Linked DNA regions of Oreochromis niloticus. The protein of the gene in region 1 purifies or fractionates together with the protein of each later gene. This does not show direct contact. Links are inferred from orthologs where the notes say so. Each region holds a gene or a part of one and is shown on either strand. Other genes may lie near its edges.

Region 1 (7,678 bases):
CACATCCGGTACTAAATAAGACACTTTAAGTATTAAATATTTGTGTTTTCTTTTACTAAAATAAAAACGGGTTTTAGACTGATCTGTATCTATGTGAGGATCATTCGTCCAGATTTGATTCATTCCCTTTCTCTACAACTCCAGGAAGGACTCCATAGCTCTGGGCCAACAGTGGAAGAAAGGAGTTCCCATTGAGGTTATCCCCATGGCGCATGTTCCCATCTCCAGAACGATAGCAAAGCGTTTTGGAGGCGAGGCTCACTTAAGAATGGCTGTCAGCAAAGCAGTAAGTGGACTGACTCTAACATCTGTGACATCTCAGCTGCACCTCTTTGTTTCATTGCTCACAGCTTTGCTCTGGTTTTCCTCCTGGATTTTCATTCCGTGGATCTTAAACTTACCATTGAACTTTTAGCATTAATCAACAGTTAAGAATTTAACTTTAAATTTAGCCATAGGCTGTGTATAAAAGAGACATTTCAGTGGCAGCATATTGGTTAATAACCTTTGTTTGCTCTTGGTGACTTGTGCCTGTTGTTTGTCCCGACCAGACTTCCATAGGTGCTACACCGCAGTGACTGATCCCCATTTTCTACTTTTATTAGCAACATTTTAACCCTTCCCATAAAACGGAATCAAAAATGCTGCCGTTTATATCAGCCTGATGTTGCCTGTGTAGCTGGCCTGAGTGTAAAAGGTGATTTGAACCCACAAACAATAACCGTGACTTTACATTTTCTATATGTCATTTACTGGACTTGGTGAAGCGGGCAGCACATGGTTAAAAGGTTTTTGAGTAACTTTGAGGAAGACCTAGTGAAGACTGCTCACATGCTGCTGTGGACCAGATCATTGGCTGCAGTGCCTGTAGTGTCAATCCAGTGCAATTAACTAACTGCGTGGCCTCGTGAGTCGGCTTCATTAGAGGCTTGTGACAACTGTGTGAGACTGAGGAAAGTTTACACTGAAATCGGAGGGCAAAACCGCCTACACAGGCACTGTAACTGCCTCATTAACACTCTGCAGACTTTAATGATTTGCCTCCTACTCGGTTCTTTCAAATGAACAACATCCAGCGAGAGACGGGAGCCTCTGTTTATTATTCCAGCTCTTAATGTTTTCATTGCTCTTTTTTTTTTTTTTTTTCTCCTTTTTTTGTACTGTTGAGCCTGGAAACTGTTTTGAGTGCTAATGAGTGGGACAGTTTGTTTACTCACAGATCCTTGACTCAGACATGCTGTTATTTAATTAAAACTTCCTTTATAATCGTGCACGATCACTTAATAATTACATGTGGCAGACCACGCTCGAGCGTTTTGTAAACTGCTAAAGAGAATAATTATATTTCCAGCACCCGAGATAACACGCTTTGCGTGTGTTCCCGTGCTTTGCTGCTTCACCCCGTGAAGGGCTTGTGGAGTGACTTGGTTATGTATTTGTGGCTTTCAGGGTCCCGTGGTCACTGATAATAGCAACTTCATCCTGGACTGGAAGTTTGAGCATGCTCAGAACTGGAAGGAAGTGAACACTGCAATCAAGATGATCCCAGGTGAGGAGCTTGGGACGTGTCTCATTCTTGCTGTAAGTATATTGGTCCATCCATCAGTGTTCAGAGTGCTCAGCCTGTCTCTGTGTGCTTACAGGTGTGGTAGAGACCGGGCTCTTCGTGGGGATGGCTGAAAGGGCCTACTTTGGCATGGAGGACGGAAGCGTGCAGGTTCGGGATCCTCCGGTCAACTGAGTTTTCCACAATTGGCACCATCTCACTGTGCTCCTCTTTCTGAATGACCTCACCGCTCCCACAAGTGCTGCACAGCCAGATTAGGAGTGCCTTGACATTAATAAAAAAAAGAAAAAAAAAAGAAGACATTTTTAAAGGAGCGAGGGGGGGGGGAGAGAGAGAGAGAGAGAGAGAGAGAGGGGGGAGAGAGAACACGAACTAGTTTCCCTGCTTTTGGAGGGATGGCAAGAACTACTAATGAATATCCAGATTTAAGCAGCAGGAAGCATAAAATGATCTAGTGCAGCTATGAAGCCTCTGGAACTGTGTTACAAAGATGCACAATATAAAGGTGGGGTGTAATGTAAGTTTCCTTGTTGAAGAAGCCTAACATGACAAAACAACACAAGCTGTTACCTAGTCCCTTTTAGTGACACTATATGGGTGTATTGTATCACTGTAAATACATCAATATTGTGACACTATGTTGATGTATTTCCATGACTGCAGGTTACAGATTACGGACTAGAGGCCACCCTTGTTGAGGTGTATAACGGGTATAAAATCTCTGCATTTCGAGTCCACTGTGTCACAACACTGTAAAGTTGCTTTAGCAGAGCTGTAGGTGTAAGTGTTCATTTCACTGGCTGGTAGGAAGCAGCTATCTGGTTTCCTGTCCTGAATGAAGACAGACTGGGAAATATATGTGGTTTCCTTTGAGGTTCCACAACTGTTCCTGTAAAGTTAGACTAATCATTGAACGTTAAAGTCCTCAGACTCACTGTTTGTCCAGGGAAAAAAAACAAAACTAATGCACGTACACATCTCCTTCCTCTGTGTCTGTTCTTTTTGTGCCTGTATGTCACCTGCATGACGGTTACTTATCCTTTACACGAGTCATCTGGTCACTGAATGCCTCGTCCCACTAACATAACTTGAAGTAGGTAATGATGGTGTACAGTCATGCTATTTAACTTTGGCGTGCTGTAGATCATGTAAATTTCACTAGGACCATGAGTACCTTTTGTGTCTTGTAATACCAAAGTAAGTGTTCTTTATGATTCAAGTAGCAAAAGTTTATTACATTTTCACAGTTGAATGCCTTTAAAATATATTCTTTTAAGACAGAAGTGTTGTCAGTGTTGGTGAAACTGTACATCTTCATAGTTCAGTTTATAGCATGGAGTCTGTCCCTTGAAGAAATGATCCCTTATGTCATTTTGTGGCCAAGTTACTGTCTCTGCCTGCATCAGCCATCACATGTTGTTCTTATGGTTTTCAAATTCAGCTGTTTCTTCGACTTTAGACTCACTATTCCTTACACTGTGGTTTCATTTTTGTGAATGTGTTTTTGTTTTAATGTATAAAACTGAGAGACTCTGGAGATGGGCAGAGCTGTGAAATTCAAGATCAAGTCATGCAAATGCAGTTAGTTGGCAAATATGTTTAAAAGCCACTGTGAAGTGCCCACACTCGGATCCTATTCTAATGTTATTCCAGTCTTATAAATCAAATTCAAGTGGCCTGGAGATGAAAGGTTAAGCAATCTGGGAATGTGTTTGGAATATTTTTGCACCAGCATATTATTATTATTTTTTTCCATTCTTTTCTTTACCAGTTGACTGTGATTATTATTTTTGCTGCAAAGGTTCTAATTTCTTTGTCAACCAATACAGGACCAAAATTATAACCCAATGTCTTGTTTTATTTTTTTGTGATTTTTAGTGTGAGCATAGTTGTTGCCACTTATTTCCCTTTATTTAAAGCTATTAACCAATAAGTATGATTTCTGAACATGAATTGACTTTGACCTTGTCAGTCACTGTACAACAGGTACACAAGGAACAAAATTTCATTACAGTTGGTTAAACATGATGAAATATAATAACCATGTTAAAATATGTTAAAATTGTATAGCAGCAGAAATCCTATAACATGCAAGGGTAGGGACAACAGAGCATGAAAGAGGGATGAGGATGCAGTGATGTCTGTGCCTCGAAACAAGCAGCGCTTGGGTGCAATGTCTTAAATGGAGGGAAGACGAGCCTCAGTGATTTTCTTCCACCATCCTCGCCTCTCTTCAGTCTTGCGTGGCCCACAGACTTCATAGTGTGGTTGGTGGTCATGTGTCAGTCATCAGCGTGAACAGCACAGGGCTCAGGGTGGTGTTCTCCAGGTGTGCACGGCTTCAGTAAAGAGCAGAGGAGATTGTGTCCTCGGTGGAACAGTTTAGCCAGTAGACAAACTGGAATGAATATAATAACGAGCTGTGCTCGAATTTGTGCAGAGTGCAGGAAAGTACCACCATCCTATTTGACCACAGGGAGGCGCTAGAAATTCAACCTGCTTAGTGTGCTTAAGGTAGTTTAATGCCAGCACACCAAAATGTTCTATATACAGACTATGAGCTAATACCCTTATGTACAATAAATAGCTAAACGCGTCTTTTGTATATTGAGCAACTGTAAATGCTTTGACATGTTTACAATAACTTCTTTAATATATATATTTATAACACATAAAACAAAAAAAAAATATGTTCTGTAATGTCATGGAAAGCTTTGAGCTTTTCTCCTGTGACTGAGTTATAGACGTTATGTCATTGTTATCTCTGTTTAAACGAAACTGAGAGCGATAACTCGTGACCGGGACCAGGAACTGCACCGATCTTGTACACTGAAGCCACGTTGATGCTTTCATGTTGGCTATCTTGACAACAATTCATGAATGACAGCCTAAATATCCAATCTAGTTGTTCCATTCAATCACCCAGGACGCAAACTGACCAATAACGTCCCTGCCTGTCAGACTAACCTCTCTTATTGGTCAGACTACGTCAACTCGGACCAATCACAGACCCGCTACGGAATTCGCCATCGAGGACATTTTTGCGTCACCTTTTGCTCTGGTCGTCGGGCAGCCGTCAATGCGCTTGCGTGGCTGTGACAGACAGCGGATTAGCCAATGCAGTACACTGTTTGGGAGGCTGGGACTTCCTGAGCCCACCTCTTTGAGTGACAGATGGGTGGTGCAATGGTATTCTGCTTAGTGTGCGAGTCTAGATGGTTGACAGCAAATTATCCAACGAGAGGCGGATTCATGAATTTTTAACAAACTCAGGGATTTCACTAACCAATCCTAGTGTAGAAACAAGGCGGGATTTAGCGTTACCAAGGCAAGTCGAGTCCAGTATAAAGGCAATAACATGGTTTCCCAGTGGCTGTTTATGTTTACTTAAAGAACATCTCCGAAAAGGGCGTTTTAGAAGACACAGCTTAGTTTTCTGTTTTAACTACAGTTTTTTGGACCTTAAGTTTTTTTATGTTAAGATTTACAAGGCCAGTGGCATGTAAATCTAATCACTAATGTGCCAGTCTTACAAATGGAAAGGGGGCTTCACTTTGGAAACGTGAGCATTTCCCTGGTGCTCCTCTTGTTGCTGAAAGCGCTCATCGGATTCGGGACTTCGCAAGCTCAGGGCTCCGCCATCGGGAGGGTGCCGCAGTCCACAACCGGGGGTTCAGGTTCGACCGCGGCGGAAGATGGTGCAGGAGTCATGAAGCGTGGCTTGGAGAACGTAGGCACCTCGGTCATTGGAGCAGACGTTACCGTGGAGGACGACGACAATGGGTCAGCGGCGGAGGCAGACGAATCACATGGAGAAAGTAACGGAAGCGTCAGACAGACGAGGTAATTATAAAAAGAGTTAGGCACCAACTGACAGTAAGTAACTACACATTCATTATCTCACACCGTTTCTCTAGCGCCTACAAAATAAGGACGACCCCTAAAATAACAAACACACAAACTAGTAACGCCTCCCTCTCCCAATTTATTTGTAAAGTCAGTTTAAACTTTTTACTTTTTTTGTCAAGCGATACTTTTTCATTAGTATTTCTCCGCCGAAGCGGCGCATTCAGAAGTTACTGGGGAAGTGTTTGTTTGTGTCCACTTTGCTCATAAACCTGTTTTTACTGCGTGCTATAACAGGCAGCCTTACAAACGGTGCCAAGAAAATAATGCGACAGAAAGGTTAAGTGCAGTGTCATAGCACAGAAGAGGAAAATGAAGTGTTTGTGAGCGAGTTTGGTATCGTGTCCGATAATGGACGCACACCGTAGCAGATGCGCTTATGCCCAGCTAACTACAGCTAGCTCTGTGTTCATGTTTTTATCTGGTGTCGGCAGTTTTGATAAGTTGCTAACATTTGGGTTACATGTCAGGGCAAAACGCGCTCGAGATAACTGACAGGAAAGTTTGGTGTACGACGAATAGCTTCTTCATGCAGGCTATGGAGAAAGTGGCTTTTCTATAATCTGTTGTTATTTCCAACCGCGAAAGAGGAACACGTTATGAGCTGAAGTGCCATGGTTGCTTTTGGGGGTTCGCTGGAACTTTTGATTATCTCTGAGGAGAAATACAGGCAACTATGAGCACATGCTGTCCTAAGCTCGGTTGAGTTTATCCGAAAAGAGATCTGAAAGCGTCCCCAAGTTACATTGAATGGAATTTATGTTCCAAGTGAAATGCAGCTGCTGCTTTCTTTGCAGATTTAAAATGCAAGATTCGTTTATTATAAAACGATAGAGCAGGAGAACAGTGGTAACTGGTAACCTCCCCTCCTGTCTGTAGATAATCTGCTTCACATTTTCATGCACCAGTCTGTTTATTATGCTCTTAACAGTTGAGTTGGACACTTTGCATAAAGCGTTTGTGTTGATCTTAGCGGTTTAAAGCTGTAGCAAAGTGGCCCCGGAGAAGAGGCATGTAAAAGTATGCAAAATGACAAGCTGTTGTTTGTTTGACAGAATAGGAGTTCAGGTTTGCTACACCTTGCTGCTGCTGCTGCTGCTGCTGCTGCTGGGTGGGTGGGTGGGGGGTTTCAGACACACCTGAGACCATGCTGCATGTCATTGCTTTAACCTCAGACATGAAATACAACCCTAACGTGTTTAGCGCAGTTGCATTTTCACATAACACCTTGAAAAGGCATGCGGCACTGCTGAGAAAGTCCCCTGGAAGCTGCCAGTGAAAAGTTTACAGTCTGACACAGACCACATGTTTACCCAGTCCTGTTAGATTACTGCTGCTGCTGCTGCTGCTGCTTCCCAAAGTGAGATGCAGTTCACACTGCATCTCGCAGTGGGGAGGGCATTGATTTTGTCTTCCTTGGTAAACAGTAGGTTTGACGCCCACCTTAGATGTTTGGCGCAGTGTGTTCCTTTTCTGTTCTTTCATCTTATTTTTACCTTTACAAGTCCATTACACCCACTTTTTGAGTGTAATATAGCTCCTTGAATCAGGATTATATCAGCACGCTTTCTTGCTTTAGGTATCCAAGGTCCTGAGGTCCTGTAATAAATTATTCCCTATGTATTATTCTGAATACGCTGTCTGTTTTCCTGAGGGAGTCATAACATCGAAAACCTTGTTAAGGTCGAACCTTTTGAAGATGCGCGGTGTCGTTTCATCACCTTAATGTTCGAGCTTGCTGCCATTGTATCTACTTGACGGCTGAAACGCAGCGTGCCGCCAATTTTCTGCCAACCTTTTTTACACCTCAGGCTCACTTTAAAGTTTTCTGACAAGACCCGAAGCGCCGTGTGTTAGCCCTGGGTGTTCGATGTGCTATATAAACAATGCTCTTTCACAGCAGGGAGCTACTCGGCATGCTGTGTAGTCTGTCCCACCATACTCAAGTCAAGAGGTGTAGTTACTTGGGTGGGAAAAATGAAAGATTTCACAAAATCTTTCGGCGTACTGCCGCACTCTTTTTACACCCTGCGCAAAGCCACAGTTTTACCAGGGTAAACTCTTGGCATGAGGGCAACACAAAGGCTCCTTCCTGCCTGGCATCTGCCGTACAATATCAAGACGAACGTAATTAACAGGTAGAAGCAGAATATTCCCCTGCCAGTCACCTCAGCTGCTGCAGGAAAACTCCTGAGCGTTCACCCT
Region 2 (7,554 bases), on another chromosome or scaffold:
ACCATCTTTTGGCCAGAGTGCTGCTGCAGGTCCAATTCCCTTTGGAAGTCCTGGAACTCCACTCCAAGGCTTCAATGCTGTTCAGTTTGGTAAGGCATCAATTTTCTATTTTTTTTATCTTTTAAGAGGTGATGCCCTGCTGAAGCGTGAGTAGGGATGTGTGACTAGACGTTTAAAAGGTTGTTGCTCTCAAGTAGCTGTAACCCAGTGATGTTAGTGTGTTAGTGTGTGTTAGTCTTCTGGTTTTATTTAGTGAGAGTGCAGCACCATCACAAAGTTTTATTGATACATTTGTTAAATTACTCTATACCTCTTCTGTTGGTAATAGGATGCTACACTGTAGCATTGTGCATTGCAATGTAGTGGGATTTAGCCTGTTTATCTACTGCTGTGAGGCCAAAGTGGAAACACATGGGTTCTGTTATTAAAGGTGGGCTTGAGGCAGGCTGATGGGAATTTTTATTGCAGCCAAATACTGAAAAGCATGTTGCCTCACTATAAGAATTCCTTGTCAGACCTGATATTGATCCTAATTTAGATGAAATTAAGAGGCGGTTTTGAAGTTGGAAAATTTGATGCCACTGTTAAAAACTGGATACTTTGTAGCAGAAATGGTTACATATCCATATGTTTTATTTTTTATTTTGTTTAGGATCTCCAGCAACTCCTTCCTTCTCAATCGGAGCTGGATCGAAACCATCCGGAGCACGGCAGAGGCTGCAGGCGAGGCGACAACACAACAGGAAGAAGTAGCCTGCCACGTTGTTCCAACAACGCATTCGGAGGACTCCAGCTGTTGCTGCTATGGCTAACCTGGCTAACATTGCTCTGTTCTAAGCCCAACATCCCACCCCATCAGGCTACCACCATACCCTATGCTTCCTCCCTCTCCTCCTCCAGTGGGTTGTGCTGGCCCGAAGTTTGCAGATGAGTTAGAAAGAGCACATTAGCCTGCTGAGTCCATGACCCAGTGAGGGAATGCAGCAGTAAAGAGAGAGAAACCACAATGATGTACTATACTTGAAGAAGGAGAAAAGACGATTTGATAGATGCTGAACATAAGCATATCCAAAGTTCTTTTTCCTTTTACCGTACACGGACACTCCCATTGGTTCGTCTTAAGGAGAAAGTTGAGTCGAGCTAAAGGTGGAGCTGCGGCTCAGACACTTATTTTTTTACGTGAAACGCTCGCTGGTTTGTATGTTACCTGAATATTTGAGTACATTCTCTGACTGAGTCTGAATGGGATGAAATGCACAGTCAATTCAGATAAGGTACACAACACTGCAGTGTAAATGTAAAGTTTGCATTTAAATTATTTTTTTAATTGGCTCTCTGACCCTGTAAATGAATAATGTGTTTCTGCACTTAAAAGGGCGACTTAGTAAATGTCTTAACGTAGTTTGTGCAGACCCTTGTGTTCTTGTTTCGTACTCTTTGTCATTGCAAGCATTCCCAGAGTCCTCCTGTGGATGGCCTTTTTTGATAGTGATTGCCAACTGATTGAATTAGCAGGTCAGTATGTGAGTAGGATGAGTACTCTCGACTAGCGCTGACAAACCAAAGCCAACTCTTCAGCTTGTTCCCTGTGAAAAGAATCTTGAGATGAGAGTGTGCTTGTGTGTGTGTTTGTTGTGCCAGACTACCTCTCTTTGCGCCCAGGCACTGAATCCTTGTTAATTCACTGAAACGTAACAAATCTGCTAGAATCAGTTACATTTTACCTTCAGCCTACCTGCTGTTAATGCACATGGAACCGTGATAAATGGTGAGGTTTTTAAATATCTGCACAGCAACACATTGTCCCCACTTCAGAAATGTCACTGCTACCTTATGTCAGATTTACAAAAAAATTACAGTCTGTTCTATTGGATCTCTCACAGCGATACAGGGATTTTTTTTGTTTTTATTATTATTTTTGTTTTTGAGCGTGCAGCAAACATGGACAGTAAAGCAGTTGATGTCAGCTGTTTTATTCAAATGATCTCTGTTCTCAGTAATCACCTCTTATTGTGAAAAGTGAGCCGTTACCAGTTGTTTTTTTGGGGGGGGGGTTCTTTCTTTGTTTCTTCTTTTTTTATTTTTTTTATTTGGATGGTCAAATTTGAATAAATAAAAATGTGAGTTTTGGATGTGGATGTTCCACATTAAACCTTTAAAGATTGCCAAATTTTCTTCCCAAGACGTGGAGGCTATACTTCGTACTGTATATTAGCAGTATGCTCTGTTTTTGTAGTGGATAAACAAGTATTGCTTGGTAATGTTGCAGGAAGTTAAAGAGGACCTGTTATGATTGTTCTTATTTTCTGTCATGTATATACTGTTACAATAGTGGATCCTCATATTAAACTTGGCCAGAGTTTCGAGTAATTTGTTCACTCTATGAACAAGTAAATCCTGTCAGGCGTCAAACTTCTCCAAACGCACAGTTTCTGATAGTTGGGGGGTTTTTTTCTACTTCTGGTTGTATGATGTTCATGAGAGGAGTAATCCTTAACACCTCTCTTTGTGAGGGGCATCCAATCAGGAGAAAGTTGGCTTAAAGGGGGGTTTGCTCCACATGGTGGATGAACAGCAGAGCAAGAGGAGAGAGTGATTCTCTATGGAGTCTGGATGTTTTCTCCAAGCTTCTGTGGGTTTCTCTTAGGCTACGTTCACACTGCAGGCGAAAGCGCATCAAATCCGATTTTTTCGCCCCTATGCGACCCGTATCCGATCTTGGTATGACAGTGTGAACGGCACAAATCCGATATTTTCAAATCCGATCTGGGTCACTTTCGTATGTGGTACTGAATCCGATACATATCCGATGTTTTAGAAAGCGACTGCTGTGTGAACGGTCAAGTCGCATTAAATCCGTCTTTTACGTCACTGACACAAGACAGACGCCAATTATCAGCGCCGGAGAAGCGCCCGATAAGACATCGCGAACGATTTCCTACCATCCGGTGAAACTGTTGGGAAGACAATGTTGGAGAAATGTGAACATTTTATTTTTACTGTATTTTCTGCAGATTCTGACAGAAATCTGCAACTATCCTTTGAAGCACCGCTCCTCTAAAACAGCAAAAAGGATCATTATTAGGTTATTTGCATTATTATGTAAGTAACAAAATAACTTAAAGCAAAAATCTGGAAACATAAAGTCCGAAGTCTTTATATTAAGGGCCATTAGTCAAACAATATTGTTTGCTCTGGGTCTAAACAGAGCGCGTTGTGTGTGACATCTTCTTTTGCGCATGCGGGCCGCTTTGAGCGTTCACACTAGAGCGCGTTTGATGTCTCATTTTATGTGTAGTGTGAACAAGCAGACAGAAAAATCGGATTTGATCAAAAAATCGGAATTGAGCATTAAGACCTGCAGTGTGAACGTAGCCTTAGGGAATTCTGGTTTCTCCCCTGCCAAAAACATGAAACACATTGGAAAAATGCTTTGTTAATGACACGCTGCTTACAGAACAAGAATGTCAAGAATTGATATCCAACACACTCCGAGAGATCTAAGTAGTGTTTTACTGGGAACTGTGTCTATGAGTTAGTCCCAATAAATTTAAGTGATTTAATTTCAAGAAAGCTGGAGTTGAAATCAGATTGAATATAATGTCAGACTATATACAAGTCCAAACTTTGTATTTTATTTCTTCTCAGAAAATAATCACAGTGCATTTTAAAGCATATTTGGAAGTATTACCACTTGCCACGGAACAGTAAACGGCTACTTCCCTGAAGAATACATGCTTTTACTTTAAATATTTCAGGTATACTTGATGCAAATATCTAAATCACATTTATTTGGGCTTGTAGACATGGTCAAAATGAAGTTCAACTGAGCATGGGGGTGGGTAATTTAAGAAACTTTGAAAGGTGAAAATGCCTGACAACTTTGAACTGATCCGAAAACTCATTTAATTACTTGTTACAAACACAGGAATGCAGAGGAGCATCTCTGAATGCACAGCATGTTAAACCTTGAAGTAGGTGGGCTAAAGCAGCAGACACCCAACAATCAGTGCCACTCCTGCCAGCTCAGAAAAGGACACAGAGGATACTCTTCACACGGGATAGCAGAAAATGGACAGTAAAAAACTGGAAAAAAATTTGCCTGGTCTGGTGAGTCCTGATTTTTGCAGCAAAATTCAGATGGTAGGATATAAATTTTGGTGTAAATATCGTGGAAGCATGGCTCCAACTTTTCTCCTGAAAAGTTTTCAAACATTCCACACACGCCAGTCCGCTAGGTGGCATTAAAGACGGTTGGAGACCCGGATTGTGCTGCATTCATGACTACACCCAGAACAGGAAATGTGAAAATTGTGGCAGTTACGCTAGATAACGCCGTTATAACTAAGAAAAAAACGAAAACGAATAATCTAAGAGATTAAGTTGTCTTTTAACGTCATGCTAAAATCATGCAAGCCAAACTGACGGAATGTTTATACATTTAAAATAAACTATATATGTTTCACGGAAATGTTTGGAGGCGGGGGGTTCTCGTATTTACTACTTGCAGTCGTAAACGTGAACGCAGCCTTAGATGAAGCGTACTATTAGGACGCATGCGCGGTGCCCCAGTCGTGAGGGGTTAGTTTAGGAGACGTTAGCGTTGCAAAATACGTGGCAGAAGGGTGTCGACATGGAGATAGCTGCTCTGGCCGCGTTAACTTTGTTACTGGGTGCATTGGTTATTCTGGTTGCGTTAGCGGTGGGCAGACGGAAAGAAGAAATAAGAGAAGAAACGGAGCAGGCAGCGGAGTTTGCCGGTAAGAGCCACTCAGGCTAACGTAACTCTAGCTAGCTGGAGAAGGGGGAGACTGTGGAGAAGGCGGCAAGTCAGTCATACTGCATTCATTCATTCACTTACTCAGTAATTGATTCATTCAACAAAAGAGCTCCGTGCCAACGATATTAACACGAACTCAGAGCTAGAAGTAGAAGCTACGGTAACTTTTGAGTGGCTGTGACTGTCACATTAACAGACCAATGGGTGCACTGCTTTCTGTCGAGTCACTGCCTGTTTTTTAACGCTTCATTGATGACAAAGGTTCAAATCGGTATCTGTAGCACGTGACATTAGTTAATGGCAACACTAAGACTCTTATACATGTGAAGTAGAATAACTCACTGTATAAAGATAGTACTTAAAGGTTATAAAACAGAGGAAGGTTAGCACATTCATCTGATGTTGAGTCTGTTTAACTATGTTTAAACAAGAAGTTACATGAAATAAAATTTTGGACTAATAAAGACGTAGTTAGACTATTATTTTTTCTCCAGGTAATAGGATTCAAAGTTTATAATTGACTAATAATACATCTTGATGCATTCTCAATCATCCAGGAAAGTAAATCTCCAAAAGTTGAATCTGTTCATCTGGACGTAGCGTTTTGTGGGAGAAACGTTTCGTCACTCATCCAAGTGACTTCTTCAGTCTCAGCTGACTGCAGGTTTCCCCAAACCTTATAAACAGTACAGTACATTATGCAAATGTACTGTTTATAAGGTTTGGGGAAACCTGAACAGATTCAACTTTTGGAGACTAATAATACAGTAATAATCCTGGGCATAATTTTATAGCCTTGGAGTTAATCACTTTAATAGTAACTTATTATAGTTTTGTGTTGTCTAAATAGGTTTTGTTTGTGTTTCATTTTGAATTTTGGTTTTCTTTTGAGGTTAGTTTGAGTTATTTTGGATGTTTTAGTTTAGATTTTTATCCATCACATCCATCCATTTTCTTCCACTTATCCCAGACAGGTTGCCACTCTTTTGCTGGGTTAACTTAGAGACCAACAACTGTCCATACTCACATTTACACCTATGGCCAATTAAGAGTCACCAGTTAACCTAATGTGTATGTCTTTATACTAAAGGAGGACGTTAAGTAGTTCGTTTTTTTTTTTTTAATTTATTTTGGTTACTTTTTCATTTTATTAGTTTCCAGTCGTATAGCTTATTTTTACGATTTTCTTGGCTTTTAATTTAATTTTAGTTCACTATAATAACCATGCTGAGAGTGTTTTTCCACATTCTGTTAACATTATTGCATGCAGTGAATAGAAAACCTCCCAGAGCTAATTCCCTGATTTCCAGAGTGTTTTGGGGGGATTGTCATGATGCCAAGGATTGGAAAATTACACATAAATTATCTTTTAGCTGTTTGTTAATGCTTCATAACACCCATATCATGTTCAGAAATAGCATAACCAACAGTTTATTCTAAAATGAAATGTGTGGAAATAAAACTTTTTTTTATGTTCCTAGCCTTTTCCCTATGACTGGGCTTTGACATACATGCTAATGTACAGGCTTGTTGAAGAAGATCCATAAACAAGAGCTATCCATCAATGATCTTTCCCCAGAGATAACTGATTCATAGCAGCTCACAAGAGTACATTGTTATTGTTAGACTACACATAAAAGTTAGATACTCTTATATTGTTAGTAAAATTACACAAGACCAACCACACAACTTAATTAAATAATGATAATAGAAAAACTTAATAAAAAATAAAGAAATAAAATGGAAACCTAAAAAGCAAAATGAACATATATATATATTTTGTTTATATTTATGTTAGAAATTGTGCAAAATTACAAATTCTCTATGATATGTTATATGCTATATTGATTGACTGATTGATTGATCATACTTTATTCATCCCAAGGGAAATTGGGTTAAGGCTGCCAGCCATGCCAGCGCCGTCCTACCCTTCCGACCATACATACATTACACAAACATCACATGGGGAAGACAGGTCAGAGGGGTATAACATGGAAAAGCACAACACGAGGAAAGATAAGGAGAAAAAAATAACTCCCCCCAGACTGAGCTCCAACAGGGAGATCAGTTTGAGAACAGAAAAAAAACACCTCTGCACATAGCACATGAAAAAAAACTCTAATACACCAAAGAAACACATGACAAGCAACAGGGATGGGTAAAGGGTGAGAGACAGCCAATGTAGACAGTACATCCGGGCCTGCAGCCTATGCGCTGGTCTCCATGATCCACCGTCAGCATCGGAAGGGAATAAGCATTGAACAATTTGGGGTTCACTATCTTCCCCAAAGATACTTTGGCATGCAGACTGGAGCAGCCAGTGATCAAAGCAGCAAAGTTCCAATTAGTAGAACTGCTTATTCTGCTGATATACAGCCATCTGAGTAATAGTTTGTATATATCCTTTTAAAATAGTCTTAGTGGGCATCAATGGTCATGTTTTTCCTGTGTTTCTTCCAGCTGAAGCCAGTGCTGTGAAGGGTTCCCAATCCAAGAAGCAGAAGCAGGAGAAGCAGCGTGGTCGCAAGGATAAACCTACACAACACACTTTCAGCCATCTGCTGCTGGCAGCCTCTCTGAAGGTAAACTGAAACAATCATCAAACACACACATTGTAAAAGCCTCAGAGGACAAGGAAGAGTTTTCATAAGAGACTGGAGTTTGGTTTGTTTTAAGTCACTGTAGGTTATGCGAGTTAAAAGCCTTGCTTTTGTTTTGGTCTGGATGCAGATCAGCTCAGTGAGCTGTTCTGAAATAATTTAACGAGGTTTCAC

What was found. Proteins that work in one complex are often made in the same cells at the same time.
Region 2: the proteins of eif2ak3 (region 1) and tbl2 purify together in Homo sapiens (affinity purification with western blotting; 3 studies listed by BioGRID). This does not show direct contact. The link is inferred for Oreochromis niloticus from reciprocal best matches to the Homo sapiens genes EIF2AK3 and TBL2.

What each region holds. Positions count from the first base shown.
Region 1 is NC_031983.2:7,554,253-7,561,930, forward strand, and holds the start of eif2ak3 (eukaryotic translation initiation factor 2-alpha kinase 3), read left to right. Parts: upstream 1-4,655; 5' UTR 4,656-5,102; coding exon 5,103-5,410; intron 5,411-7,678. Other genes in the region: rpia (ribose-5-phosphate isomerase), read left to right, coding at 145-286, 1,450-1,549, 1,644-1,741. UniProt on the Homo sapiens protein: Metabolic-stress sensing protein kinase that phosphorylates the alpha subunit of eukaryotic translation initiation factor 2 (EIF2S1/eIF-2-alpha) in response to various stress, such as unfolded protein response (UPR).
Region 2 is NC_031975.2:24,301,774-24,309,327, reverse strand, and holds the start of tbl2 (transducin beta-like protein 2), read left to right. Parts: upstream 1-4,533; 5' UTR 4,534-4,633; coding exon 4,634-4,760; intron 4,761-7,240; coding exon 7,241-7,362; intron 7,363-7,554. Other genes in the region: pom121 (nuclear envelope pore membrane protein POM 121), read left to right, coding at 1-89, 653-753.